Linked DNA regions of Oryzias latipes. The main gene of each other region encodes a partner of the protein of the gene in region 2 in a complex. Links are inferred from orthologs where the notes say so. Each region holds a gene or a part of one and is shown on either strand. Other genes may lie near its edges.

Region 1 (4,322 bases), about 1.2 Mb from region 2:
GACTTCTAACAGTCCTTCAACGTTGTAGATCTTCACATCTTAATACTCACCCACAATGTTTACAGGGGGCTGAATCACTGCCTTTAGGTAGGAGGCGATTTGGTGCTGGAATGAGAGGAATATTAATTTAAGGGAGTTAAGTTGGTGTTGAATTTCTTCTACTGTAGTAAATGGGTGGTGGTTTGAGTTTGAAGCCAGATGTGTTGCCCATGATTTCATTCAATGAACTGTACTGGTGTGTGTTTTTCTTTTTTATTATACAGCATTTATTATCCCTGAATGGGAAGTTTGTATTTTTGTTTTTTTGCAGTCGTGCTACACTCATCAGGCAGCATGCAGAGGACATGTTTGGGGGTTTTTCAGCATTTTCACGTTTGGACTGATGGTGAATGTTGTGGTGGCATTTGTTCTCCACACTGTTTGATTAAATCCTCCCTCCACAAATACCTTCTTTTTTCTTTTTTTTTAAATACAACAATTTGCACTTTCTTTAGGTTTCACTTGATACATTCCCAGCTTGTCTCAATAAATAAAAAGTATTGCTGTTTGGCCAAAACTCTAAATGAAATATCAATGCAAAGTTTACTCTCAATAAAAAGATCTGAAAGTTTGCTCCTTTGTTCTTTTTGTCTTCTTTCCTAGATCAATGGTTCCCAGCTTTTTGTGTATTTTGTAAGGATGTAAAGGATACAGTTACGTATTGAAAATTGATCAAGTACTGGAAGTAACAGCTCTATCAATCGATAACCTTAAATACGAGCAAGTTGGTGAAAAGGTAAAAAAATGAAATCAATCAGGAAGTAAATCGTTATTTTTTTTTCTTTTCTGTCTTTACTGTCTTTGCCTTTTTATGTACATGTGATGCCAACATGAAGACACCCAATCACAAAGCCTACTTCTACCAAATCGGGTCAATTATGATTGGCTGAATGTGAACCACAGTGTGCTGTGTTCTCTTTTTTCACGGTACTGCAAACAATGCCTGAATAAATTCCTATGACAATTTTTTGATCATAAATAAAAACAGAACAGTATTCGTAGTTGAAGCAGTTCTCTCAGAGATGTTTTGTTTTTGTTGCTTCAAAAAAAGGGCCAATAAGAACAAAATTTAAGAAAAAAGTTTCTCTGTTAAATGGCATTTCCATTAATAATTTTAAATGCCAAATACATAAATAGAAATCTATGAATAAATGACTGGTACTTTATTTTTTAGCACCATACAATGGCATCAGGGTGCCAAAGGGCTTACATTAACATAACATTTAAAATTGAGTAGATTGAGAGGGGAAAAAAACAGCATTAGATGGAAAAAACAATAAAACACATAGAAAAACAGTTAATAATTAAAGTAATTGGTAAGTAATTAAATAAAGACAGTAAAGGAATATTAGATGCCACCAACCCAATGAGTAAGAGAAAACAACTCATTTTTGTCTTTCCACTGACTGTTCTTCATCTCACCACCAGGCGGCGGTAAGACAACATTGACGGTGAGCGGTGGCCTCTTTCTGACGTCATATCAACGCGACACAAACGTTGGTGGTACATCAGCGGCCTGTGATTTCACTCGATCGCTGTAATTTTTCTCGTCGGTGGAGGATCTTTTCTCTACTGTTCGTCATGAAACTAGTCAGGTAATTTGCTGCATGGTCTGTAGATGTGTCGACTGGTTTAAGATAGGATGATGAAATAAAGGCTGTGTGGCCGGATGGGTTCAGATAGACAAATGAACTGTGTGGAGAGGCGGGAACAAGGCTGCTGGGTTTTCATTCAAAAAATACATATAAACATATCATTAGAGCTAACTATTTAATCAAGGATTAAACTGCTTGTTTTAGCAATATTTGTAAAAGATCGAGGCTGATTCGTTATCATTTATGGTTTTGCAAATTTCCCCCCGCATTATTAAAACTATCGTACTAAAGGAGGTTAATTTATTAGATGTTGTTTCCGTTTCCTCAAAGTGCTTTATCATTATTTAATTGTATTTATTTTTGGATGTTTTTAATTTCCACAACTTAAGAGACAAATGTTTTGTTTTCAGTTTACACAACAGTATCAATCCACCGAAGCTAACAAGCTAAGAGCTAACACGAGTTTTGTTTAGATACTAAAAAAAAAATACATTCAAAAAGGGGGGGGGGGGTATTTTGTACAATTTTATACGTTAAATCTTATGTGTTGTACAAAAATGCTGTCTAATGTTTGTGAGAGAGAGACGTCTTCTTTGTGCAAAGCAGTAAGTTGGCTAATTGATCATTCAAGATGGATCTAGTCATTAAAGTCTTCTACAGCAATGGTGCCAACCTTCTAATAAAGCGGTTTTTTATTGTATTTAATTTATCAAAATATTTTTATGATTAACAGAAAACGTTACCAACAATTATTTCTAACAAAAAGTCCGCATAAATGTTCATACAAAACATTAAAAAATGTGAATCTGAAAATGGAGTTTAAAGTCTTCCATTTTATCCAGTATGTATGGGATCAAATGCAGTTTTTGTATGAAATGGTGCATATCACAGTATGTTTATTTCCCTCGTTTTTTTTATGTTTGACATTTTGTTTATTTCATTTGTATTTTGTGAATATGAACAGACATAAAAATGATGCTTTTAATTTGTTAAAGTCCACCAATCAATTATTGATTAACATTTTCCTGTTCTAGTTCTGCTTAAAGGTCAGCATGTTATTAGTGTATTTTTTTTCATGGTATTGTCACTTTAAAACATTGACGTTTAAATGAAAGTGCCTTTTGGATTCAGAAAACCAAAATGAATGTGCCAATTCTAGGTTTTTGAAAAATACACTTTTGAGTAAGAATAAAACACGTGAACCTTTTTTGTTTCATGTGGGATGACAATAAATCATGTTTTTTTTTTTTTTGCGAAAATGATTCTTTCCCTGAAGTGTAGATACATTATACTGGTACTGCTTTTTGATTACAAAATGGTATGTTTGGTAAAGTATAGTGCAGTAAAACAACTCTTAAAGGTTAAGTAAATGTAAATGTATGCTACTCTCCCGTGTCCACACAGGTTTTTGATGAAGCTCAGTCATGAGACCGTTACCATTGAACTGAAGAATGGCACTCAGGTCCATGGCACCATCACAGGTGAGAGCAAACACTTTAGAGACGAATAAATGAACTAAATCATTTTTAAAATCCTCTTCTTCTTCTTTTTAATAGGTGTTGATGTAAGCATGAACACACACTTGAAGGCGGTGAAAATGACCCTAAAGAACAGGGAACCCACTCAGCTGGAGTCCCTGAGTATCCGAGGCAACAACATTCGCTACTTCATCCTGCCAGACAGTCTTCCACTGGACACCTTGCTGGTCGACATTGAACCAAAGATCAAGTCCAAGAAGAGAGAAGCAGGTGGGAGATTTGGGCACATTCTTACCTGGAAAATTGTATTAAGTTGAGAAGGATTTTTCTGCGATAAGAAATCCCTCAACAGTATTTATATTCATCATGGGTGTGTAAATCTGCTGTTTATTTCTTTGAGAAATGTTTTGTTCTGCTGATTAAAACTTTTTTTTTTCACGAGTATGGTGAAAGAATCTGGCCTTTCTTGTTCTCAGTTGCTGGTAGGGGGCGAGGCAGAGGACGGGGCCGTGGCAGAGGAAGAGGACGAGGGCGAGGTGGACCACGGAGATGATTTCAGAGCCCCAACTGTTTGTACAGCTTTTAATTGTACTGCGCGGTGGACGCAAAGTGAATCTAAGTGTAAGTTTAGGGTTGTTTTTCTTTTTTATACTCGTGGGTTGTTTAAGACCGCGAGGGGGTTTTGGATGCTGTTGATTCATAATTTGTACCATCTTGAATAAAATGTCTGAGCAGCATTTAAACTGGGTAAAAATGTCATCTGTTTTTTGCTTTTTTTATACCTTCTTGTGTCTTTGGCAAAGTTGGCTGAAAATGTAGCTGTTCTACTGGCATCAAAGAAGAATAAATCTTTTTTTTTCTCTTTGTAATATTTGGCTCTTTAATTGGCTTGATTAGTTTTCACTTTTCCTATAAGTGATTGAAATAGGTTGATAAGGTTTTTTTTCACAGTTTCTGGAACTGATTACATCTCAACTTATTGTTGATGATGTTCCAGATACTGCTGATCCACCTCTGGTGGATGGTGTGGATGTTGATGACTGCAAATGTAAAAACCTTTTGTCCAATACTTAGATGGGCTGGCTCTTAACCCACATAAGTTTCCAATAAAATAAAGAAAATCCACTTTGAATTTTGACATCATTGTAAAAACTTATGTTTGTTATTGAAGATCTCTGTTTGGATTTTTCTGAAATTTAATATTTTTTCT
Region 2 (3,867 bases):
TCAATATTTCACTCACCAAAATCTCCCAGTCATCAGATGACAGTGGCTCCACAAACACCTGATTCAGCGAAGAGACTTGATGGCATGGTCTGAGAAAACACTGTGAAAACCACTCAATGTCAGACCAATGTTAAGAGACTGTTGCACAGGCAGTGTTCGTCCCAGTTGATGACCTAAAGGAAGAAACCAAGGTCTTTACCTGTTCTCCATCAGTCAAACCGAGCTTTTCTCCAAGCTGCCGAGACAACTCCACTCTGTGGCTGTCTGCTCCTAAGGAGGCTCTGATGGGACACCAGCTAAGGAACACTGTCGACCCGCCGTCCCAAGACAGCTCCAAAGCCTGATTCTAAAACGGACCGGCCAAAGAGAGACGATGAAATAAGACACAGAATGGTCTCTTAAAGCGGATGTCGAAATTATGATTCCAACTTTATGAATGTTAGATACTTGTGATACCTTTATTAGTTTTTATTCTTGTACATTTTGTATCATTACATACATTTCAGATTTTATGCTCAGCAGAAGAATTAAATTAAAAAATTGCAAAAATATTCCACAGGTGTGGTAGCAAAATATAGAAATATTGAGATGATCACATTAGTTATTATAATAATCAACCTTTTCTAAATTAAACTATTTCTAGGAGTTAATGTGTTAAAAATCAAAACAATGCAGTTTCCTTTAGACTAAAGACCCCTGAATGAGGACAGTATTTGATGCCCAATTTCTATTTTTACCAACAATTCATTTTTTGTTGCCTTGCATTACTTCCTAATACTAATTAAGTACACGTGATAATAAAAAAATGCTCTGCTTTTGTTATAAGTTTTAATTAAGAAAAACTAAAACCTTAAATGCAACCAAAGGTCCCCTTGTAATGTCAGAGAAACAAACCAGCAATGTGTAAAACACAAAAGCAGTCATTATTCAGTAAACTTTATGCAACAAAACTGAAGCGATGTTAAGTAATTAGCTAATACTTTACCTCATTCAGAGAAAGGTGCGATATCAGCTTTGAAGAGAGTTGAATAAAGCAGTTTTTAGTGTTGTTAAAAACAACACATACTGGTTGAATTCCCTGGTTGCTAAACATGACGTTTACATCGCTATTTTAGCATTTAAAGTGCTTAACATGCTGGTGCGCTAACGGCCAAAGTGCAACAAACATTTCGATGAATGAGAGAACTGATCCAGACAAAACAGTCGATTGTCGATGGAATCGATCATTTCAAAATAAGACTGCCACGTCGTCAACACTACACGTTGAGTGCTCTGCACAACGGAATGAACTCTTGTTTTGAAATGCCACCAAAGCGGAAACGCGTTTCAGCAAACATGGCGGCAAATGTCAACAGTAAACCTGGTTGTTGGAAGGTCCCAGAAGTCTACAAACATCACGAACAACACAACGCATGTTTTTCTAGACCCAAATATAGAGATGGAAGGAGAGCTAAAGCAGTCAAGGTAAGAAAAACGTTTCTAATGTTTGTAGCAAAGACGGTCTGTGTTGACGCAAGCGACGAGCTAATAATTATGTGTAAGTTGGTTTTATTTTTACATTTAAGAATGTAAGAGAAAATTTTAAAATCTTTTTTTTTAACTGGAAGAAAAAAGTATAAATTGTAGTCACACAGCAAGTGATAAATAAAAGACCAACGGCAGGTCTTAAAAAAACAAATAAAACTGTCGTTTTGGCAAAAATAAATAAATAAAATTAAATAAAAGACATGGTAAAAAGTTTGAGTCATTTCGAAAAAATTGTAATTAATAAACCATAAAAATCAAATTTCTAATACAGTAGACTGGATTTCTGAGTTGCAGGAAAGTACATCAGATCTGATGATTATGTCTTTAAGTTAATTGATTTTTATTGGTCACGTCAACAGCCTCACATATACTAATAACCATGCCTTTGTATCTGCCAGGTCTACACAATAAATTTAGAGTCCCGTTATGTGATGATCCAGGGAGTCCCCGCTATTGGAGTGATGGAGGAGCTGATCCAGTTGTGTGCTCTTTATGGAACAGTGGAGGAATACAGACCGCTGGACGAGTATCCTGCTGAGGAGTTCACAGAAGTCTACCTGGTCAAGTTTCAAAAACTGACAAGTGCTAGGTATGGCGGGCACCTTAACTGTACTGCCCTAAACCAGAAATGCTGAAAAATATGTCATTCAGGTTGATATTTGATGTTCCAGAGCGGCGAAACGTAACATGGATGAGAAGAGTTTCTATGGCGGCGTGCTGCATGTGTGTTACGTCCCGGAGTACGAGTCTGTGGAAGACACCAAGTTAAAGCTGCAGGACAGGAGAAGTTATGTTCTGAAAGTGGCTCGGAGTAGAGGTATTATCGCATTTTGACGATATACGGTGTTGAAAAGCACTGAATCTTTTTTTTCTTAGGTAATTGTTTTTTAAAAGTTCAATGAAAAAAAACTGTGATTAAAAAATTTTTTTTGTGTATTTTTATCTGAAATCAAATGTTTTTTGTTGTTTTGTAAGTTTAAAGTATAGATAAAGAATTTGATGAGTGTCATTTATCTGTTTCATGTTTATACAGCAAAAGAAAGAGTAGCGGATGCGGTACACATGGAATCTACGTCTTCAGAAAGCGTTCCCACATCAAGCAGAGTTTTTGCTACAAATAATCCAATCTTCAATAGTGACAAAACAGGCGAGACTTCAAGCTTCAGCCATTGTTCCGGATTTCCTCTACTGCCTTTACCCCCGCAGGAATACTTTCATCAGGATTATCGTGGGAACGAACCAACAGAAGATCAAATGGGGACTTTACATGACGCAGTGCCTCCTGACGTAAAACAGCAGAAAGTCCAGAACTTTAGCTCTTTCAGTAAAGACCCTAATTCCGAAAAAAAATTGGCCTCCAACCCAGATTCTTCCGTCAAGCTTGTTCCAAGAACTGCACATTTGGAAAAGAACAAACGCCGCAAAATGGAGGAGGCCACAAAACAGCCAGTGCCTGATTCTGGAGAACCGTCTTTGATTGGACCAAAACTACCAGAACCACATAAGCTGGACATGAATGATCAGTCGCTAAACACAACAGTAAATCTGATCAGGGGCACAATGAAGCAGGTAGTCTTTTATTTTTTTTTTAATGAGAATTAGAGCTTGACATGATGCCATATTGGTGCATTTCAGTCTCATTCTTTTCATTCATTCCTAGGTGACATCGGTCCCAGACCTCAAACCAGCGGAGAAGAAGGTTAAGCCACGCCGTCGGATATGATCCATTCTGTTTTAGTGACGACTGTCCATATTTATCAAAACTAACGTTGAAAGGCTCAACTTAAAATAAAATTGTACTTTAAGAAAAACATTTTGGCTTTTTCTTTCATGAAAGTCTCAAAGTTGAACACCGCTTGCACTTCATATTTTATTATTCATCTTGCTGCTTTTCCAGTACTTGCTGCTCAAACTTCTTCTTTGTCTAAAAAGAAAGATTTAAGTTAAATAGATCCTTACAATATTTTTAAGCTCAGCAACTTTTGGTTGTGATTACCCTGAAATTGGGCAGGCAGCTTCCAAAGGCTTCAAGGAGTAGCTCCTCCTTTTTTACAGACTTCTCAAAATCTTGAAAAGACAGCCTGCCGTCTTTGTCGTGGTCCTGTGGAATCACAGGAAGCAATGTTGGCATGTTACCAAAATAAATCTGCACACATCAAGACAAAATTCTTACAATCAACATCGATCCAAATGTGACAAAGGCAGATGGGAGGGCAACATCTCACCATTTTTTTGAGGACAATTTCCATCAGTTCGTTGATCTCATCCTGTTCATCTTGATAGTCGTCTTCTCTGCCTTCCTCTTCAAGCCGCAGATGGAAACTGTCCTTCAGCAAGAGA
Region 3 (4,176 bases), on a different chromosome or scaffold from region 2:
ATTCAGAAATAATTCAGTAAAAAAAAAAAAAAAACAGCATTCAGGAAGCAGGGTGTACCAAGAATAAGGAAAAGTGGACACACCATTTATCAGCATTGGTTAGGAACCACTCACCTTGTGCTTTCAGAATGGCCGCTTTGCCTCTTCCTGCTCCAGAACCCTGGTTCTTGTTCTTCATACTCTTTAACATTGGAGCGTTCTTTAACATGTCTGGTAAGATCAGAAAGCGGATCTTGCTGCCACGAATGTACACTTGTTCCAGCTGGGCAACCCGCCCGTCACGATAGGTTACTGTGATGTTGGACATCTGTTGGGACATAGAAATAAATGGTTCCGGTCTTAGATTCGTAAAATGGCTTGATACACGTTTACAGTGTTCAATGGAATGCAGGTTAACATTTTAAGTTATCTGTTAAACTTGGCAATGCAGTTCTCTATTTGAAAACACATTTGTAGATACTTCATTTAATCCCTTAAAATAATTTCTAACAACCTTTTTGATTTGTCATTTGATTAATAAGAAATCTACAATTATTAACAGAATATACGTTTTAGAATATTTAGCGTTTTGTTAAAGCCTTCACACTTATCTTTAGAGTACTTTTAAGACACACTGAGCTTTATCCACCAAAATTTCTGCTTTTAAATGAAATAAACAGATTTGGAGTCTATTAAACTTTTACTGCACTAATGAAGCTTGAAAAGACTATCAGCATTGACAGGATGTTTGGGAAATATATTTAGTTACAGTACTCAATACTTTAAGAAAAATGGCTTTAAATATTTCAAGGACAAATGTGCATATATGACCAGATAACTATACAGATTTTTTTAGGGGGGGGGGGTGAATTGGGTCAGTTAATAGAAAGAACACAACTTAAATTTACAAAATAAAATAAAATTGTTATTCCAGATTTGTTTGTTACAGATGTGCAACCAAAACTAGAGACCCAAAAAAAACAACAAAAAAACAAAGGTCATAAAGGCAACCTGTCCCAAAACTTTAAAATAATCCAACATAATTTCCTTTTTCCACACAGGGCCGTTTGGTTTCTTAGTGCTGTGTTTCTATTTACTTCCAACGGTAATGATAAATCATTTATGGTTTTTGTTTTTCCCTACAGGTCACTGACCTGATGCATATTAGTAAAAGGGAGTATGTTTTGTTGACTGTAAAAGCACCATTGATCTCATTGAGTAATTAAGTCACTACATCAATCAATCATACGTTACACACGTGTGGTTGGCTGAGATTTTGAGGGACAAAGAAACCGGGAGAGATTTTTCTTCGAAGAGGAGTAACCGATTTGTCTTTCGCTACAAACATGTTGAACAACTGTTTTTTAAAAAAAAAAAAGAAAGAAAGAAAGTATAACATGAGTTTGTCTCACCGCAATTGTTTTACTAAAATACTACATTCTCAACAAACCTACTCAAATAGTTCTACATCACCTGCTTGTTATAATTGGTAGATTCTAGACTTATTCCTGTGAAAGCAAAAAAAACAAATGTGCAAGTCTAAATAAGAGTTGGTGCAATAAACTGCATTAAAATACCTTTGGCATTTTTGTTTCCAAAAAGTATGTGAAATAAAAGGGGGGGGGGGCAGCCAACAATAAAATGTCCATTAAAAAAACATTCTTGTGTTCTTTACACATTTAAAATGTTCTTCTCAAGTGTGGTACAGTGAGTTGAACTCTAAATAGAAATTTACGGCATGCTTTTTTTTTTTGGGGGGGGGACGTTACTCCATACAAACCTGGCAGTTCATGTTGTCTTCAGCCTCGATCAGTTTGCCCCTGTAAACCTCTCCAGTGTTGGTTTCACAGGTCACAATGTGTCCCTCTGCTTCATGCAGGACCTTGATTGGTACGCCAATGGACATTTTGGAAACGGTCTTTCTAGGCTATTAAATTAAAAAAAAAGACAAAACATACGGTAAAGGGCACTGAAACATACAGTATTATCACAAAACCTGACGTACGGTATTGTCTTTGTTTACAGAAGGCTACTGAAAGTCTACAACATGCAATTCATTCATCCAATTTTATGATTATTATGTTTGCATGTGTCTGGCTTGGAAGTAATATTTACTGTTAGAACATACTTAAGACTTGTTTTGTGCTGTAAATAAGGTAATTTACACCCACAAAAAAAAACGTACAAAAAAGGCACTTAAGTATAACAATGTTTCCATTATCATTAGCTAAGCTACCTCGTTAGTGATTTATTTCTTGTACTGTTTATCAAGACGGTATTATTTCTACGTAGAGAAATCAAGTGCTGCAGAAAACTCTTCAGTTTTGGATTACACAGTTTAATCAGGTAAATGTTCGGGATTACTTTTAAAACGTAGTAACGCTAATGGCTAGCTTAGCTAGCCACGTTAGCTAACTAGCCACCAACTACTGGCCTCAAGCGAAACAAAACATTAATTAAAAACTGTGGGAAGTAAACCACCACAATATATTTAACGTTAATGCTTCACACCCAACATTGTTGGGACTCAAACGTGCAAATTATTTTAGACACAAGCTAAATATCAGGCATGGATGGAGCGATGGACATATTCGAAACTTAGCAAATGGGAGGCAATGTAGACAAAAAGCGATAATTCTGAATCACATTCACAGCTAAATACCAACCACAATATAATACTTGCTAGCTTTAGTAGCTAGGGTTTAAAGTCTTACTTCAACTCCCTTTGAATTCTTGAATTGTTGTTCTTTTTAGCGGCTCAGCAACGTGGGCTAGTCGTTGAGCTTGGCGTTTGAGCCTTTTTTCCGCTTACCCACAATGCACCAACAAAGCGTTTGTTTCCTGTGGCGCTTTTCGCCGTGCATTATGGGACATGTAGTTGATTCTGATTACCTAAACCAGGTGTGTTAGGTCAAACAGAATGTAGACTCACTTGAGTCAGCCAGTTACCAGAAAGATGGTTAAGGAGAAACAACAACAACAATAATAATAATAAGTGTTATTATTTTTTGTACTATTATTATTCTTTTTTAGTAGTATTGGAAGTAGTAGTAATAGTAAATAAAAACTAATTTTCATCAAAAGGCCTCAGAGAGGTCCAGGAATACCAATCATTATAGGACATTGGACTTTCAAACAAAAATAGAAATCATGAAACGTTAACAGATTAAAAATGTACACAATAAAAAATGACTTGTTTATTTGTCCTGAATTAGATTAACATGAATTTAATTTGATGATTACTCATTGGAAAAAATCAACTATAATGGAACACTGGATAGATATTTGTAAAAATATTTTATTGATTCCTTGCAGTGGTGCATGTTTTTTTTCCATAATCCTCCTCACTATGTTTTTTCTCTTTTCCTTATTTGTTTTATGTGAAAGATTTGAATCCCGAACACGTGTATAGCTGGCACATATGCTTGTCAAAACATCCCAGCAAGAAGAGATTATGAAAATGAAACGACTCAATCAATTCAAATGGATTTTTTTCATCGACCACAGAGAGCTATAAACATTTACTCTACATAGTTTTTGAATGAACAGACTTTACGTATCATATACATACCCTTGCGTGTTTATTTATGTGGACTAGTCTTTTTTACCACTTCAGTGAGACGCATAAACATTGCTTAATGCGGGGCTTTCTCACGCTGGAAGAGGTTTCTAATGAGGAAAGACAAAGCATAATGGGATAATAAAAGACATCACCAAATGAACCATCATTTGATTTCCATTGCAACAGGGTCATTGACTGGCGTCAGCAGACAGGCTACTCTGTAAACACCTGTACCTGTGCAGCGTGTGGTCATGTGTATCTACTTTACGTGTCCATGAGGGTTTCAGGCGTTTAATGCATGCTAACCTGACTCTGAACGTAGTTCCAGTCCAGCCATGAGCAGTGACATTTGCAGAGATCAAACAAGCACTTGTTTTGGGTGGATGCTAACAGGCCTGTTTACACTGATGCCTTTGAATCATGTCACTTAGATGTTGATCTGGGTTGTCAGCTTTTGTTGCCAGGCAATTATCCAATTGCTGATCAAGCAAGCAAAAGGATTTACTTAGAGGTAAACACTTTGTAGGGGAAAGTGCACACCTATAGATTGTACTCAGACTACATTCGTTTCCTCAGCTGTTGCAGACAGCCGTTACAACAAATAGCACGGATCAAAAGAAAGCTGTATGTCATGT
Region 4 (3,995 bases), on a different chromosome or scaffold from region 2:
CTTCCTTCTGTAAAAAACACTGGTAAATGTTTCCACTGTAGACGATTTAAATGTTTAGGAGCTGAGAGCTGTGAGTACTGAATGTAAATTAACCATTAGTAGAAATGAAAGTGCAGCTTTTTCGTCGAGGGAGACAGTCTAATGGCAGACTAAGAGATGCAGTTGCTGACTTATTAATGAGGTATTATTGATTTTATGTTTTCTTTTCTTTTACATTAAAAAGCACTAATAGTTTTTGTGGCCTTTTCCTCACTGCAAAAGCAGCAAATTGATTGTGTTCTTGTTTGCTTGTTAATAAAAGAAGAGCTCTGTGAATTTGCTTGTAATCATTTCATTTATGATTGAACAAATATAATTGTTTTGTGTGTTTGTTTGTTTTTGTTGTTTTTTTTAAATCATAAATCAAAGAACACTGTTGACAGATAAATACCAGTATTTGGAAATGTCACATTTTCTCAATGGAGCCTAAATGCATTGTCATTCATGGAAATCATACTAGACCAGCAGCTGGTTATTACTGTCTTAGATAAACAATAACCCATGACATTTAATCTGTCTCTACATATTGGACATGACATGTAACAGGGACAATATTTAGGTCTTTTTGTCTCTGTTATAAAAAGCAAGTAGTGACGGCCTATATTTTTGAAAAAGTTTTAGTGTAAAAAAAATGATCGACAAATAAAAAAATAAGAACAAGAATTGAAATCGTATGCAAAGAAGAGTAAAGACTTTTACAATTCAAAAACATTGCTCTCCTGTCTTTCTAGGCATCGGTGTATGACCGACTAAATTTGTGGGTCAATTAGGGAAATCAGGCAATTTTAGCCTTTTTGGTGACAGTCATTATTTGTATGCCAGTCACTGGGTCCCACCACAGACACAGTCTTGCAGCAGATTGTGGCCCAGTAGTTATCATTTTTAACTTCTTTGGAGTCAACTTTATCTTCAATGTATTTATTTATGCATAACAGTAACTTTTTTGTTATAATAATAATAATAATAATAATAATAATAATAATAATAATAATAATAATAATAATAACAATAATAACAATAATAATAATAATAATAATAATAATAATAATAATAATAATAATAATAATAATAATAATAATAATACAGAAACGCGTCTTCTTCCTCGTCGTCTACATTGACCCTTGACGCGACCCGTAGTTTCCCACAATACAAAGATGGCAGCGGTCGGTGGTGGAACCGGACCCGAGCTTTCTAAAGCTGAGTACTTAAAGCGGTATTTATCAGCTGACGACAACCATGGTGCATCTAAAGGAAAAGGCAAGAAGAAACGAAAAAAGCTTCCTGAAACAAGGTGAGTACCGAAATACTGCGCCGTTTGGCTTTCTGTTAGCATCCAAGCTAGTTTCCTTATGCTAAGCTATTTTTGATTTGGAACTTTGTTTCTATGAGTTTAATCGTTTTTATTTTGTGTTACTTCGTTGTTTTTATCTAGACTTAAAATAGTAGACGATGATATTGATTGGAGACAAATGGTCCAACAGCAGCCGGATGTCGAAGAGGATGAAGAGGAAGCTCCGGTGGTGAGTTAGCTAGCAGCCTTGCGTTAGCATTTCCCCCGCAGTACGGTCTACTATGTTTAACTTTTACACGCATGAAAGTCTGATGGCGATATTTGATTTGATGATAATAAAATGTATGTCTTTCTTTTTTGTTAACATTATTGAAATGTAAATCCAGACGTAACACAGGAATTTCATCTGACGTGAGATTGAATTGATCTGCTTTAATGCAGGATAATCGATGCAAGATAGATTTGACACATTGGTTTGAATGAAATATGTGGGAAACTTGCATTGTGTGTGAAGCAGTCAACACAGATGTTTGAACAGAGTAAATAATGATTTGATTTGGTCTATGTTATGTACATTAAAGTTTTAAAGCCAAGGAAACCTAAATTTTGTACTTTGATTTACCTTCTCAGATTGCAGAGTTCATCGATGAGCGGCCAGAAGAGGTGAAACAGATGGAGGCCTTTAGGACCAGTAACAGATGGAAAATAGTTGGGGGTAACTATAAAAGCAGTATATAAATTTGGCTTCTTTTAAATTATGTTGTTTTTCATATTAACTGTGTTGTTCTGTAGCGGATGAAGACGAAGACAAAACAATTGACGAAGAAAATGAGCAGGAGGAGCCTTTAACATCTAAAAAAAGTCGGCATGACTCACCAGAGCTGTCATCGAAAAGTGGGAGACATGGTTCCCCTTTCAAAAAACCAAGACACGACTCTCCAGACATTTCTCCTCCTAGGAGAGGACGCCATGACTCTCCGGATAAATCCCCTCCCAGGAGAGGACGCCATGACTCTCCGGATAAATCCCCTCCCAGGAGAGGACGCCATGACTCTCCGGATAAATCTCCTCCTAGGAGAGGACGCCATGACTCTCCGGATAAATCTCCTCCTAGCAGAGGACGCCATGACTCTCCCAGCAAGTCTCCTTCAAGGCAACATTTAAGGAAGTCTGGGAAAGTTAAAAGTAAAGGTGAGTTTTATTTTACAGTTAAGATTTTCTTTCTTGCTTTTATACAGAACAATGCTCATTTTGCACAAGTCACTGAAAAAGCTGAAAACGGCATACCAATGCCATTTAAGCATTGAATAAGCTTAAAGCTGGAACCTCTTAGATTTTTGGGTTATAGTAGTTACTAAAAATATCAATAGTTATATTGACACAATAAAATGTTTATGTAAAACACATTTATTTTTTTCTATTTCATATTAGGATTACTAGTTTTGCTCTCTGCACTCTAATATATATAGTGCAAACATTCTCTTTGATTCTCAGAGTCTTCTCCCACTAGAAGGAAGCCCAGCTCATCGTTACACGGTAAACCAAGGTCGCCAGATGATCGGCGGTCTCCTTTAGCTCATAAGACTAAGGTTAGGCTGGATTCAGACTCCGATCAATCTCCTCCACGGAAAAAGCAATCGAAGCGAGAAGCTTCCGACTCTGACCAGTCTCCCCCTCGGAGACGCTCCAGAACAAGGCAGAGATCCGATTCCGACCAGTCTCCACCAAGAAAGCACTCGAGGAGTGGAAAGGACTCGGATGGAGATCTGTCACCACCACGGAGACCTGGCCAGTCTCATGTGAGGGATCTGCGCTGTTCAGGGATTCGTGTGAAACCTAATTTGCAGCACAAACCCCATCTAATATTTTTGTGTGTTTTTCAGGACCACAGGATGCTTTCCGGAGGAAAGGCTGGTTTGGTATCTGTGGAGATTCTAAGGGAAGAGCAAAAGGAAAACCGACGCAGAGAAAAAAAGAATCAACCTCTTGAAGGTTGGCCTTGCTTTTGTTTTTCAGTTTTACTTTTAAAAAAAAAGAGAGTTTGAAACAACCCTTTTCTTATCGTATAACTTTAGACTTTCTATATTTCTGAAGTACCGGTATATGAAAGTGTTTTTATACTATTTATACTATTTACGCATCAGATGAATCTCGTAATGCGGAGACGGTCTTCCGAGACAAAAGTGGCAAAAGGAGGGATTTGACCTCAGAAAGGGAGGAGCAGAAGAGAAAAGCAGGAGAAAAGGCTGCAAAAGATGAAAAATATGCCCAGTGGGGTAAAGGGTAAATCCACAAAACCATACCAAGTCACTGAAAATGCTACTTCCACCACATGTAAGAAGACAAGTTATTGTTTGTGTTTAGGCTGGCTCAGAATCAGATGGAGCAGCAGAAGCTGGAGGACGCCCTGCTGGAAGCCCAGAAGCCCTTGGCCCGTCACCGTGACGACGAAGATCTGGACCGCATGTTGAGGGAGCAGGAGAGGGACGGGGATCCCATGGCTGCCATGCTTCGGCGGAAAAAGGAAAAAAGCTCAAAAACACAAGGTTTGAAACATTCTACAAGTTTTTGTACTTTTTTTTTTTTTTTTACTCTTCTGATGGAAAAATTTGGGCATTAGTACTTCAAGTACAGCAAATATCTCAGTTGCAGTTTTACATGATTC
Region 5 (4,122 bases), on a different chromosome or scaffold from region 2:
GCTAAGATACTGCGCAGGACCCTCAAGCTCCCGGGCCTCTGGTAGAGGACCCGAGCTTGGAGGAGAAAGCACCCACGGAGGGTGAGAGGGGCGTTTTTTTAAATTTTATATATATATATATATAGATATATAGGGAGCTGGTTTAGCTCGTGCTGGTTTGCGGCGCCTTCCGTCCGTGAAACCAGGGTTCGACTCCGGGCTGCTCCCTGTTCCCTTCTCTACTTCTGTGCCGGTCCCAAGCCCGGTTGCTTTGAGAAGGTTGCGTCAGGAAGGGCATCCGGCGTAAAACATTGCCAAGTTTACCATGCGACTCGTTCGCTGTGGCGACCCCTGATGGGAAAAGCCAAAAGGGAAACCAACCCTATCTATCTATCTATCTATCTATCTATCTATCTATCTATCTATCTATCTATCTATCTATCTATCTATCTATCTATCTATCTATCTATCTATCTATCTATCTATCTATCTATCTATCTATCTATCTATCTATCTATCTATCTATCTATCTATCTATCTATCTATCTATCTATCTATCTATCTATCTATCTATCTATCTATCTATCTATCTATCTATCTATCTATCTATCTATCTATCTATCTATCTATCTATCTATCTATCTATCTTCTGAAGATGAGACCCACCAACTCACACATTGATTCTCGCACTGTTTTCCCAACAATCTATATGTCATAAACACTTCTCAGCTTACTTACTTAGCCATTGCCTCCTTGGTAACCGCCTCGCACCATGATTCCTCTGTAGCAAACGTGAAATCTACCTGGCGTTGATACAGAGTGTGAGTGCCTGTATGGTGAGATGTCATCCACAGTTTTGGCATCTTCTCCAGCTCCAGGCTCAAATGAAACATTTACAAAACTAAAATCATTTTCTTACATTAAAGCTCGGTAATGCAAGCCTTTCAAATAAACAGCAGAATGTGAGAGTTCGTCAGCACATGTTGTCAGCAGCCTGGAGCTGATGACAACAATTCTATAATTCCATTGGGTTTTATATTATCTGATTATAAATCATTTTTAATTTCACTTATTTATTTATTTTTTGACATTTGGTCTTGTCTCATTGTTATAAAATAGTTTATTTATGTTTTTTTTCATAGTTTGTTTATTTTTTGTTGTTTACTAATTGTGTGAATGATGTTGTGTCATTTTGTAAACTGATTTTATTTATGATTATTTTATTATGACTTTATAAAGCAGATGCACTGGAATGTGATCAGAATATAGTCCGAGTCTTTTTGTTGCACTAATACATCCAGAACGCCAGGGGGCGACGTGAGGCGCGGCGAAAAGCTCGATGCCACTTCCGTTTCCTGTCGGCGGCAAAGCGTGCTTCTAGTTTGTGAAGCTAAAACGTTTTTGTGACGAAGACATAATAAACTTCTAATTTACTGTTAATCGGGTCTAAACTTAATCGAGCAAAATGGTGAGTAACTCTTCAAATATGTAATTTCACACGGCCTTTGGGTTTATTGAAGTTTGTTAAAACAAAGAATTTAAGAGAGTTAGCTCGTTTATGCTAGCCATGTTAGCATCCCATTCATAACTGGTTTACACAGCTCGTAGGGGAAAACAAACTTACACTAAAAACAAAACTTTAAAAATGAAACGGTTAGATATTCAAGTGAGCTTTTACTAAAGTGTTGTTTGTTTTGGGTAACGTGTTGCCGTATCAGAAAATGAACGTCCGTCGGAACAACACAAAACTATGACGTTCCTCTGCAGGTAGTAGTGTGGTCGAACATTATACAACAGATTAATAGAAGTATATAGGTCATTTGAATAATTAAACTGCTCCAAAACCGAATTTATGTACTGTTTCCCAATTATTCAATTTATTTTTTTAATGCAGTCCAGATTGGTTCTTCAGTCGCTCCTGTTGATGATTGGTGGTGTAAAGAAATCAGACGTGGAGACTGTCCATAACATGAATAACCCGCATACTTAAAGTTCTAAATATCTCATAGGGAAAAGCGTCATGTTTGCAGACTTGATGTAAGGTTTCAATCCCCTCTGCCGCAGAGTTTGCCCCTCAACCCAAAGCCTTTCCTGAACGGCCTGACAGGGAAACCAGTGATGGTGAAGCTGAAGTGGGGAATGGAGTACAAAGGCTACCTGGTGTCTGTGGACGGATACATGAACATGCAGGTAAAAGCAACTCTAGCTTCATTCACAACTATATCAGGGTTTATTCTGGGATTTTAAAATGCAGCTGCAACACAGAGGCAAACTACTCAAAAGTAAATGCAATTATTTATTCAATCTATTTTAAATTAGTCAAGAGTGTTTTTATCGTACTCAGTTTGTTATTATTATACATGTTTCTAAATGACCAACAGTGTTTTCAGTCTTCTATTCTGAGCATTAACTTAGACGACTGTTGGTGGAAAACCAATTAGCAGCTTTTCTTGTACCAGTTTACAATTTTTTTCAAAAATTCTAACTATCCTATCATATAACATTTTAATAAAAAAAAGTCGTTTAAAAAAAGGTCAAATGGCTCCTGTCGCATAGTGACAGCCTCTGCAAAGATGACGGAGGCTTTTTTGAGTTTGCTAAACGATCCTGTTCAGCAATTATTGATCAGGAACTTTCCGCTTCATCCAAGAGTCAAAAACAAACTCAATACAGTTTCTAAATGAAAACACTTCTGGTTTTTCACAATAAGATTATTCTGGGCACAAATAACAAAACATTTCTCTGAACCAATGAAGTCATTCAAACCAAATCATAAATGTTGTCTCACATTGTTATTTAAACAGTAAATAAGTCAAAACAACTCTAAACACTTATTTTTTTTAAGTATTTATCTGTGATGCTCATTTTTTGATCAGGGTTATCCGTAGTAATCACAACTAAAAATGTTCCAAATTTAGCTTTTTTGTCCTTCACTGAGCAATTAAGTCTGTAAGTCAGTCGCTGCAGCGGCCTGATACTGCATGAAAGTTGGCTAGCATTTCTAAATCTGGAACAACTTTTCTTACCAAAACATATCAAACCATTTTGTTCTATTGTTTAGATAGCAGCACATGTAGAATAAAAGAAATCTGTTTAAAAAATTGAGATTTCAGACCCTTAAAGCTCTCACACCAAACCGGTGTTGCTTCTCCATATTTTACATAATTCTTTGTATATTTAGATTTCATGAAATTTGACCTTTGCTAAGAAACTCTTGTTGTTTAGATGAAGGTTGTTGTTTAACTTTGTCATCTTTTATTATGAGATTTTAAAAGAAATACATTTGTTGTGTTTTACTCAGAGGAAATTACCATAAACATTTTACTTGTTTAGTTTGTAGAAAAAAAGTGATAAACGGCAGGAAAAGTACATGATTGTTGCAGAAATCCTCAGATGGAATGGGTTTTTACCAAACTGTGACACGCCACCATAACAGTAACATCTTTTCTTACGCTTTTCTAAGCTCTTCAGAAAAAAGTCTTATATCTGGACTTGTTTTTAAAATGTTTAATTTCCTGAAATTCCAAAGTAGATTCTTTGTCGAGTGAATTTTCTCAGGTTAAATATTAGTTAAAAAATGACAGAAAAATATAAGTATTTAGATGAAAACTTGGGTGCTGGAATTAAAGGTTAATCTTTTAACATTTGTAGAAAAGAACAGAAAATTTGCATTTGGTTATTTGGGAAACAGCAAAGAAATCCATAAGATCTTTTTTTTTTTTAATATTCTTGTGGCATCTTTCTCATGATGGAGAACACGTATGAAGAATGAATCAGGAGCAGAAGACAAAATGCCTTTTGATTAAGATCGTATTTGTGACGTTGAAAATATGGTGGGCGGGCAACAAGCTCCCTGCTCCGAGGGAAAGGGGGGCGGGGTTGCTCTGTACCAACAGTTTCGCCACAACAACAAACTGGGTAATCATAATTAGAACCACTGGGAAGGCTTTGACACTAGATCTTAAGATGATCAGAGCTGATCTTTAAACTAAACGTTATGAGTAGTTTACTGTTTAATCCAGCAGAGGGCGCCACAGAATGAACGTAAAATCTAACAAATCTTTAATTTGGTAGAAAAATGAAGAGAAGGTTTGAGGTTTTGACTTTTCTGTATGATGTCTGACAGCTGGCAAACACGGAGGA
Region 6 (4,222 bases), on a different chromosome or scaffold from region 2:
GGCAGCTTGAAGTATTGGATCAAATAAATCCCTTTGTGCATTTGACCAATCGGATGGAGCCCTTTTATGTTAGATGCTCGCCTCATAGGTAGACGAGGGTCATTTGGAGTGTAAATAATTGAAACTATTTACATTTTACGAAACCCTTGTGATATCTTAGATGACCCCACCCTTACATCGACGTGTTCTCCCTACCATGACAAATGTGGATAAAGGTGGAAAGATGTCATGTAATCCATTGACACCAGTGAAGATCACAAATCATTGAAGAAAAAAGGTTTAGCGCACTGTCTAGTGGGTCTAGATGACCCAACTCCCAACGTTAAAATGTCTAGGATAGCACAAGGGTTAACCCTTGTTGTTGTAAAATTAAAATGCAGCTGTTTTTGCTATTTGTTGATATGTAGCAAGTATATTGTCATCGCAATATTGATCACCAATGTTGCAAATTTTCCTCATATCATGCCGCCCAAGTCAGGACTAAAGGGAGGAGAGCCAAACACTCACACGAAGGCAGAACTTCTGTAGATTTTTTTTATTTCAATAAAAGACACCTGAATTATCCAGACTAAGAAAGCCACAAACTTAGGCTTCCATGAGGTTTGGTATTTCTGCTGATTAGTGACAGTTGGTAGAAACGTATTCCTCCCATGAAAGCAGGATAACTTGGGTTTCTATATGTCTTTTTTTTTTAAATCTAATACGACTACAGACAAACTTTCCCTCATTTTTCCTTTGATGAGTATCTGACCTTTTCAGTTGGTGTCCAACATTTGAAAGGAATTATTTTCTGTCTAGTAAAACACATCTTTACCATTTTTCCATGAGAACAAATATACTCATTTTGCTGGAAGCCTGTTTTGAGCAAATTTCAAATTACTTTTATAAATGTACTTGTGCTTAAAAACATACAAAAACCATCTTAATATTCAGATTCTGATCCAGTGAAGACATGAGTCCTGTGCAAACTCCAGCTGCAAATGAGAGGAGGTGCAAGACCTGGACAAGCAGCTTAATTTTCCTCTCTTCATAACCAACTTTAGGGTGGATTTTGTTCAAAGGAAATCCTCCAGATCGGTTCAACATCTGCTGAAAACACCAGAAATTAAACAATCATAAAACCAAAACGGTCACTGTTTGTTTCCACTTGACTGTGAAGCAAAGTCTTTAGTCTTTGGGTAGTGGGATCCCAACAGCCATCTGCTGTCCCTGCATCTGCTGCTCGGCCTGCCTGACCTGATCCTTGGTGCAGCAGTCCTGCAGGAACACAGCAGCTAGGTTGTGCAGCCGGGGACTCTCAGCAAGAGAGAAACGCAGCATGCACTGCAAGATGCCTGGCTCTGTGAGCTGAGATTGTGAAGCTGGAGTCACAAGGTTCATAAGGGTAGTAATTGCTGATAGCACTGTCTCCTCCCTCTGGTTTGACAGACAGTTTGTGATTAAGCTGATGCCGTCACTGTCCAGGATGAGGTCCCTGCAGTCTGGGTCCATACTGAGGTTACAGAGCCCACCTGAGAAAATTTAGACCAAAAAAAATGTTTTTCACTGCATTTATGGTACAAAAAAACCCAAATGATAATCTAAAAAGATTCACCCATTCCAAACTCAATAAAGTTCTCGTTCTTCTCAGTCAACATATCCAGAAACAGGTCGGTCACTTGCAGCTGTCGCAGATACTCTGTGTTCTTTGGGTCGTAAGCAAAGTTGGCGAGGTTTGCCAAAACCTGCTCCTTTGCCTCTAACGACAACAGAACATAAATAAAAAACACAGAATCAGATTCAAATTCAATTAAATTACATATACTGGACATTAATGACTGAAACGGGAACAAGGACCAAAAGCAAGATAAATTTAATCCACCAGAGGGCGCTTTTTTACACCTCAACATTAAAAATAAGACTAAAGACCTGCATTCCTAAAAAATTATTGACGGACAATAATATGTAGTTTGATCCTTTATATATTGCATATAAAAGGCTGCAAAAGTCTATCAGCATAAATCATTAAATGGCATTTGTTAAATTTTGGTTTTATTGATTTTTAAAAAACGTCATTATGCATTTTTAATTTAGTATTCAAACATGATCGTCAGAATTACTAAAGCATAATTATTTAAAAAAAAAAATCTTAAAAGATAAATGCATTGTTTTTTTCCTGAATAATCTGTCCTGTTTCTAAGCATTCAGATTTTAAAAATTAAATTTTTGTAGTTTATATATATATATATATAATAAAATAAATAAAAATAAAAAAATAATTATATATATATATATATATATATATATATATATATATATATATATATATATATATATATATATATATATATATATATATATAAAGTGACTATCATGGATTGATATAAGTAAGACATGCTTTCATTACAATGTTTATGCATTAACAATTTAATTTCAAAGAATTTGTTGTAAACTAGCAATAATTCTTAGTTTTTCTAAATGAATCTGCGAGCTATTTGTGTTTTTACCTTCACTGTCACTATCCTGAAACTCTGTGACAAGAGCCTGTAAATATTCAAACCGGTCAGAGGTTTCGGGTGAAAAGTTCCGTTTCATCATTCAGTATCTTATATTGTGTTTTTAAGAAGACAAACGCGCGATTAAAACAAAAAAATAAAATACATTTGAAATAGTATCCTCATTTATGCATTTGGTTTCAGTAGTTCGTTCATTTTGTCCGTCTTTCAAATACGTCCGGCTTAAATTAGAATTTGGACAGTGGTTCCGGGATATTGTTTCGTGACTCTTTTTTTTTCTTCTTCTGAAGACTGGATGAACTGTTAACGCAACAGAATAACAATTAAAAATGAAACCCAAAAGTAGAATTAAGCTGTTCTTACATAAAAAAGAGCTGTCAATTTATTTTATCACTTAAAACGTTGTGATTTTTAATAATTAGGCCTATAATGTTTCGGTAATAAATCACTTTGATTTAATTTAATTAAATGATTACTTTTTGTCATAGACGATAAAAGCAAATTACTTTACGAAATTCAATTCTCAAACGGAAGTCGGTACTTCTTTGTCGACATAGACGTCAGTGCTGGACCGGAAGTTGAGGCGCTCCAACGTCCCTTCAGCTAACTAACTCACGCGCAGGAAGGTCAGCTGAAAACAAACTCACGTTTCTGTTGCTGTTTGGATTCTATGCCGTGAACCTTCTGATTTAAAGTTCTGCAGCAATGAAGCCTCACAAGCTCTCTGCAGCTAAAAGGCTCACGAAACCTATTCTGTTCGGGAGCATCATTGTTGGACTTGCCACTGTTTACATAAACAGGTGATCTATTTTCTTATTTTGTATAAAACAATAGGAAAGTTATAACGCAAATATAGACTTTAGTCTATATATTCAGAATATTTTTTTATGTGTTTAACGTTGGAGATTGTTGTCCTTGCGTAATGACGCTGACGTTTGATTGTAATCAAGTTTAAGAAAAACACTGAAAACATGTCTGTACTGTCCTTAAGTACAAATTAACATTGGAGCCAAACCATAATTTCATTAACAGGAAATTTTGTCTTTAAATATCTTTAGTAATAGGAAAAATACAACTATTTTTATTTTGTAGCCCTTTTTATTTCCAAAGCAAGGCATCACAGACACATACTCTTTCTTTGCACCACAAAAAATACTAACATTTAATTATATAAGTGTAAGACTGCAGGTAACAGCATTTTTAATTTATAATTAGTAATCATTTGTAATGAGACACTAATGTTTTTAATTAGTAGATTATTTAGCATAATTTCAGTTTTTGACCAGTATCTTCTACAACCTGGAGTGCAATTACTATTTAAAATAAATTAAAGAAATCTAAATAAATGTCTTTGTAAAATATATCTTTAAAATAAGAATCTTTTTTGTAAAACATATTGTGTTATTGGAAGTGGGGGGCTTTTTCACTTCACAAATTTCTCTTTTCTACATTGGTGTCACGTTTTTGACACTTAGTGCAGCTGCTTTTATCAGATTACATTTTTTAAATTTTTTTTAAATTTTTTTGTGTGAAATCTGCTCTGGTTTAGTTGGTGTACTGCTGCAGAGATTCCTTTTCTAAAAAAAAGTTTTAAAAAGAATTTGAGCTGCAGATTGTGCTTTTCCAAACCAGGTTACTGTCTTAAAGAGAGCCCATTTTTGCATTTTGTGGTTTAAAATGCAGCTTATTTTTGTGTCCTGTGTTTGTATTTTTCTGTCTTGCAGACA
Region 7 (3,536 bases), on a different chromosome or scaffold from region 2:
TTGCCTGTTAGCTTGTTGTTTGGTTGTTTGTAGTTTGCCTGTTAGCTTGTTGTTTGGTGGTTGTTAGTTTGTTTGTTGTTTGCCTGTTTGTTCTTTGTTGTGATGGAAGCCGGTCTTTGACAGGTTCTAAATCTGTTTACAGCAGATGGGTTTTGATGTGAGCTTCTCCTTCTTTGTTTTTCTGCATTTTTCCGTCTGTACTTTGAGAGAACAGCATGTCTATTGGTTTAGAAATCATTGAGTCCATGCAGAAAGTAAACATGACACATTTGCCTGTGTCCCCGTCCAGGCCCACTACTCAACAGGCCGAGTCTCCGCCTCCTTCACCTCCACAGCCATGACTCCTTCAACCATCCATGAAGCCGGTAAGCTAGGATCTGTTCCTGTGGGTTCTCCTCTGCACGTCAGCCGCTGACCTGGTTTTGTCTGCTGCTTCTGCTGGGATGCAGCCGTGTTCACTGACTTTAAAAAGATAAATGAAAGGGAATAAAAGCTATTATTATTGTTTATGTCATTGTATCCTGAGGCGGTACATTAGACTTTCTATGAATTCTAATAAGGCAATGTTTTTTGGGTCCACTGGATTTCTCTCTGAAGCAGAACCGGCTGGTCCAGTCCTGACGCTCCTCTAAGGCTGGATTCAGACTGGACGCACTTGGTTCACGTAAAGTAAACCAGAACTAGTCTGAATACACCAAAGTGGACCCTGATCCAGAAGGATCAGGGTCCACTGGGACCCATCGTTTGAGGTGGTCTCGGTTATTTCCAATCGGACTGAGATCCAGTTCGCCCTGCGTTTCCACTGTCTGAACCCAATCTGCTCAGAGAGGAACGACTGAACCCCAATATGTCTGAGGCCTTTGGAGCGGCCCATGTGTGCAGCGGTCGCTGTTGTCTGCACGTTTCAGGTGTTCGTTTTTTTACCGTTGTCTTTGTGGCAGACGCCATCGCCGATGATGCTGTGCGGTACCAGTACGTGAAGAAGAAAGGCTACGTCCGCCTGCACACCAACCTGGGAGACCTGAACCTGGAGCTGCACTGCGATAAGGTGACGTCAGACGCTGCGTTTAAACCCATGCAGCCTTTATTGATGCCGTAGTCGTTTTTTATTTGATCTTTTTTCTCTGTTGGTACTAAAAACATCAGAACCATAAAACAAGAAACACAGTTTCCTTTCTTTTAAATACCGTCGTCATGACGACGTGGAGCGTTCGGCTGGTTTTTGGGAGTGTAGGATGGAAGTGGTGCAGCATCAGACCTGGAATGTGTTCGTGTCTGACCGTCAGTGTTTGTCTCCCCCCCCCCCCCCCCCCCCAAACCAGGTTCCCAAAGCTGGAGAGAATTTCATCCGTCTGTGCAAAAAGGGTTACTACGACGGGACCGCCTTTCACAGGTCCATCCGGAATTTCATGGTGAGGAAGAGACGCTTTTAGCAAATGAGGGGAGAAGGCCTGCACAATATACCGCAAATTTATCGTCATCGCAACATCAAGCTGTGCAACATGCATACCGCAAAAGACGGCAAAAATCGCAATAAATGGTTACCTCAAATTTGCAAAAACAAACTCATGGCAGCCTGAAATGGTGAACAAATGCAAGTAATCCCTTTATGCATTTAACCAATCAGAAGGACCCGTTTACGTTTTTGATCAATCAGATGAGCACTTTTATGTTTGATGTTTGCCTCCTATGTCGACAAGGGTCATTTGGAGTATAATTTTTATACTGTTGCAGTGAAATGGAAATGATGTTTTTGGTTGTTTGGCTATTTGTTTATATACCGCAAATTATATCGTTATCGCGATTTTAATCACCAATATCGCATATCACGAGTTTTCCTCATATCGTGCAGCCCTAGAGGGGAGGTCTGCTTCTGCTGAACAGGCCGGGTCCCAAAGGTTTGAATATTTGGAGCGTCTGCTGATCAAAAGCTGCAATAGATATTCACATATTTGGGTACTTTGATTAAAGAGGAAACGTCAACCCAAACCCGTTCAGATCCAAATCAAGTCCAGCTCCTTTTCCAAGCTCCCTCCGTCCTCCTCCTCCTCATGAGGAGTCGGGGGGCAGCAGGCTAACCGCTGGTCTCCAGTCCTCCATCCAGAGCCTTTCTCCAGATCAGTCAGGGAACCCCAAAGTCCAGGCAAGCTGAGGAACACGGTTCCTCTGGGTCTCCTTCCTGGGGGAGTTTCCCTGAGCAGCGGCTCTTTGCTGAGCTCCTCACCCTCCCTCTAAGGAGCAGCCACTGCCTCCCCCCTTCCAGACGTTTGCATCCAGGATCTCCTCCTGGTCCGACCCAGAGTCTGTAGGTGAGGGGAGGAACATGGACTCTGCTCCTCCTTCACTACGATCCACCCGTCAACCTTTCTGCACTCAGACCTGAACGTCTCCACGTGGAGCAGGAGCTCTGCACACATCCAGAGAACGGGTGATGGAACACAGCATCTCCATCTTCTAAAGCTGACCCTTTCTCTTTCCAGATCCAGGGAGGAGACCCGACCGGCACCGGCACAGGTAGGCGGAGCTTGGACCGCTTTCAGTGGCGGAGCGGCTCTGAATGACTGAAGGTCCTCTTTAGAGATGCTGAACCTGTGGGGACCTGAGAGAGGCACTCAGGGCTGCCAAAGATACCGAGGGGCACTTGGGGTGGGGGCAGTCTGTCTGTCTGTGGGGGGGGGACCGGGCCCATTATCTTCTATCTACTTGCTGCCACTGGGAATGCTGTTTCATAAGGTGAACTTCCACCTTATGCCGACGACTGCCACATGTTTGTCGCTATATGTGTGAGACCCGACCACATGACACCCATCTTGGTCTCTTTGAACGGCGGCGGCGGGTTCTAGGACCAGCGTTCCTCTTCTCCTGGAGGCTCGTCTCTAATGAGACGGAAACGTATTTCTGTTGTCTTTAGTATAAAATGCATTTGGGATCAGATGAAGATCCTCATTGATCCAAACCTGAGACTGTTGCTGCCGCAGAAACGCACAAAACTCTCCACAAAGAGAGGGAAGCTCCATCTCCAGCTGGACATCCCATAATGTTTCTTAGCTGGAACCCTGTGTGGTCCGTGCACACGGCTGCTGGATCTCTTCCTTTAGGGCAGGTTTGGTTCTGAAGTCTCTGTGGGTTCGGTTCTGCTCAGGTGGCGAATCCTTCTGGGGAAAACCCTTCAAGGACGAGTTCCGGCCCAACCTGTCCCACGCGGGCCGGGGGGTCCTCAGCATGGCCAACTCGGGTCCGAACACCAACAAGTCTCAGTTGTAAGGAACCTTGGTCCCTGGAACCGAGGAAACCCAAACACGAAACTGAATCTATGTTCTTCATGTTCTCTGGGCTGCAGCCTGGAGCAGATCTTCTTCAACGTCTCCTCCTCCTCCTCAGCTTCATCACATTCCGGTCCTGCCCCCACCTGGACAGGAAGCACACCATATTTGGAAGGTACCTTTCCAGAGGCTGATCTCCCACAGATCCAGCTTTGGGGCTGCTCTGATTGGTCGTCTTCTCTGCAGAATCGTGGGTGGGTTCGAGACGCTCAC

What was found.
Region 1: rbm48 (region 2) and snrpd1 share a complex: the UniProt entries of both Homo sapiens proteins name them as parts of the minor spliceosome. The link is inferred for Oryzias latipes from reciprocal best matches to the Homo sapiens genes RBM48 and SNRPD1.
Region 3: rbm48 (region 2) and snrpd3 share a complex: the UniProt entries of both Homo sapiens proteins name them as parts of the minor spliceosome. The link is inferred for Oryzias latipes from reciprocal best matches to the Homo sapiens genes RBM48 and SNRPD3.
Region 4: rbm48 (region 2) and bud13 share a complex: the UniProt entries of both Homo sapiens proteins name them as parts of the minor spliceosome. The link is inferred for Oryzias latipes from reciprocal best matches to the Homo sapiens genes RBM48 and BUD13.
Region 5: rbm48 (region 2) and snrpf share a complex: the UniProt entries of both Homo sapiens proteins name them as parts of the minor spliceosome. The link is inferred for Oryzias latipes from reciprocal best matches to the Homo sapiens genes RBM48 and SNRPF.
Region 6: rbm48 (region 2) and armc7 share a complex: the UniProt entries of both Homo sapiens proteins name them as parts of the minor spliceosome. The link is inferred for Oryzias latipes from reciprocal best matches to the Homo sapiens genes RBM48 and ARMC7.
Region 7: rbm48 (region 2) and ppil2 share a complex: the UniProt entries of both Homo sapiens proteins name them as parts of the minor spliceosome. The link is inferred for Oryzias latipes from reciprocal best matches to the Homo sapiens genes RBM48 and PPIL2.

Annotation. Positions count from the first base shown.
Region 1 is NC_019869.2:22,965,473-22,969,794, reverse strand, and holds snrpd1 (small nuclear ribonucleoprotein Sm D1), read left to right. Parts: upstream 1-1,488; 5' UTR 1,489-1,620; coding exon 1,621-1,634; intron 1,635-3,038; coding exon 3,039-3,115; intron 3,116-3,190; coding exon 3,191-3,382; intron 3,383-3,588; coding exon 3,589-3,665; 3' UTR 3,666-4,237; downstream 4,238-4,322. UniProt on the Homo sapiens protein: Plays a role in pre-mRNA splicing as a core component of the spliceosomal U1, U2, U4 and U5 small nuclear ribonucleoproteins (snRNPs), the building blocks of the spliceosome.
Region 2 is NC_019869.2:21,761,729-21,765,595, forward strand, and holds rbm48 (RNA-binding protein 48), read left to right. Parts: upstream 1-1,287; 5' UTR 1,288-1,302; coding exon 1,303-1,464; intron 1,465-1,925; coding exon 1,926-2,116; intron 2,117-2,198; coding exon 2,199-2,344; intron 2,345-2,560; coding exon 2,561-3,096; intron 3,097-3,102; exon of another isoform or gene 3,103-3,187; coding exon 3,188-3,250; 3' UTR 3,251-3,340; downstream 3,341-3,867. Other genes in the region: pex1 (peroxisome biogenesis factor 1), read right to left, coding at 17-100, 200-346, 986-1,093; efcab1 (EF-hand calcium-binding domain-containing protein 1), read right to left, coding at 3,401-3,451, 3,524-3,628, 3,753-3,867. UniProt on the Homo sapiens protein: As a component of the minor spliceosome, involved in the splicing of U12-type introns in pre-mRNAs.
Region 3 is NC_019870.2:16,128,886-16,133,061, forward strand, and holds the start of snrpd3 (small nuclear ribonucleoprotein Sm D3), read right to left. Parts: upstream 2,824-4,176; 5' UTR 2,694-2,823; intron 1,907-2,693; 5' UTR 1,886-1,906; coding exon 1,760-1,885; intron 308-1,759; coding exon 115-307; intron 1-114. UniProt on the Homo sapiens protein: Plays a role in pre-mRNA splicing as a core component of the spliceosomal U1, U2, U4 and U5 small nuclear ribonucleoproteins (snRNPs), the building blocks of the spliceosome.
Region 4 is NC_019872.2:13,070,008-13,074,002, reverse strand, and holds the start of bud13 (BUD13 homolog), read left to right. Parts: upstream 1-1,164; 5' UTR 1,165-1,193; coding exon 1,194-1,330; intron 1,331-1,471; coding exon 1,472-1,559; intron 1,560-1,960; coding exon 1,961-2,045; intron 2,046-2,122; coding exon 2,123-2,521; intron 2,522-2,824; coding exon 2,825-3,129; intron 3,130-3,213; coding exon 3,214-3,322; intron 3,323-3,474; coding exon 3,475-3,613; intron 3,614-3,694; coding exon 3,695-3,876; intron 3,877-3,995. UniProt on the Homo sapiens protein: Involved in pre-mRNA splicing as component of the activated spliceosome. As a component of the minor spliceosome, involved in the splicing of U12-type introns in pre-mRNAs.
Region 5 is NC_019881.2:20,375,312-20,379,433, reverse strand, and holds the start of snrpf (small nuclear ribonucleoprotein F), read left to right. Parts: upstream 1-1,309; 5' UTR 1,310-1,444; coding exon 1,445-1,447; intron 1,448-2,043; coding exon 2,044-2,169; intron 2,170-4,105; coding exon 4,106-4,122. UniProt on the Homo sapiens protein: Plays a role in pre-mRNA splicing as a core component of the spliceosomal U1, U2, U4 and U5 small nuclear ribonucleoproteins (snRNPs), the building blocks of the spliceosome.
Region 6 is NC_019877.2:19,372,996-19,377,217, reverse strand, and holds armc7 (armadillo repeat-containing protein 7), read right to left. Parts: upstream 2,825-4,222; 5' UTR 2,578-2,824; coding exon 2,487-2,577; intron 1,739-2,486; coding exon 1,595-1,738; intron 1,512-1,594; coding exon 1,168-1,511; 3' UTR 521-1,167; downstream 1-520. UniProt on the Homo sapiens protein: As a component of the minor spliceosome, involved in the splicing of U12-type introns in pre-mRNAs.
Region 7 is NC_019867.2:622,316-625,851, forward strand, and holds part of ppil2 (peptidyl-prolyl cis-trans isomerase-like 2), read left to right. Parts: intron 1-289; coding exon 290-365; intron 366-941; coding exon 942-1,048; intron 1,049-1,322; coding exon 1,323-1,412; intron 1,413-2,480; coding exon 2,481-2,514; intron 2,515-3,142; coding exon 3,143-3,260; intron 3,261-3,381; coding exon 3,382-3,438; intron 3,439-3,509; coding exon 3,510-3,536. UniProt on the Homo sapiens protein: Has a ubiquitin-protein ligase activity acting as an E3 ubiquitin protein ligase or as an ubiquitin-ubiquitin ligase promoting elongation of ubiquitin chains on substrates.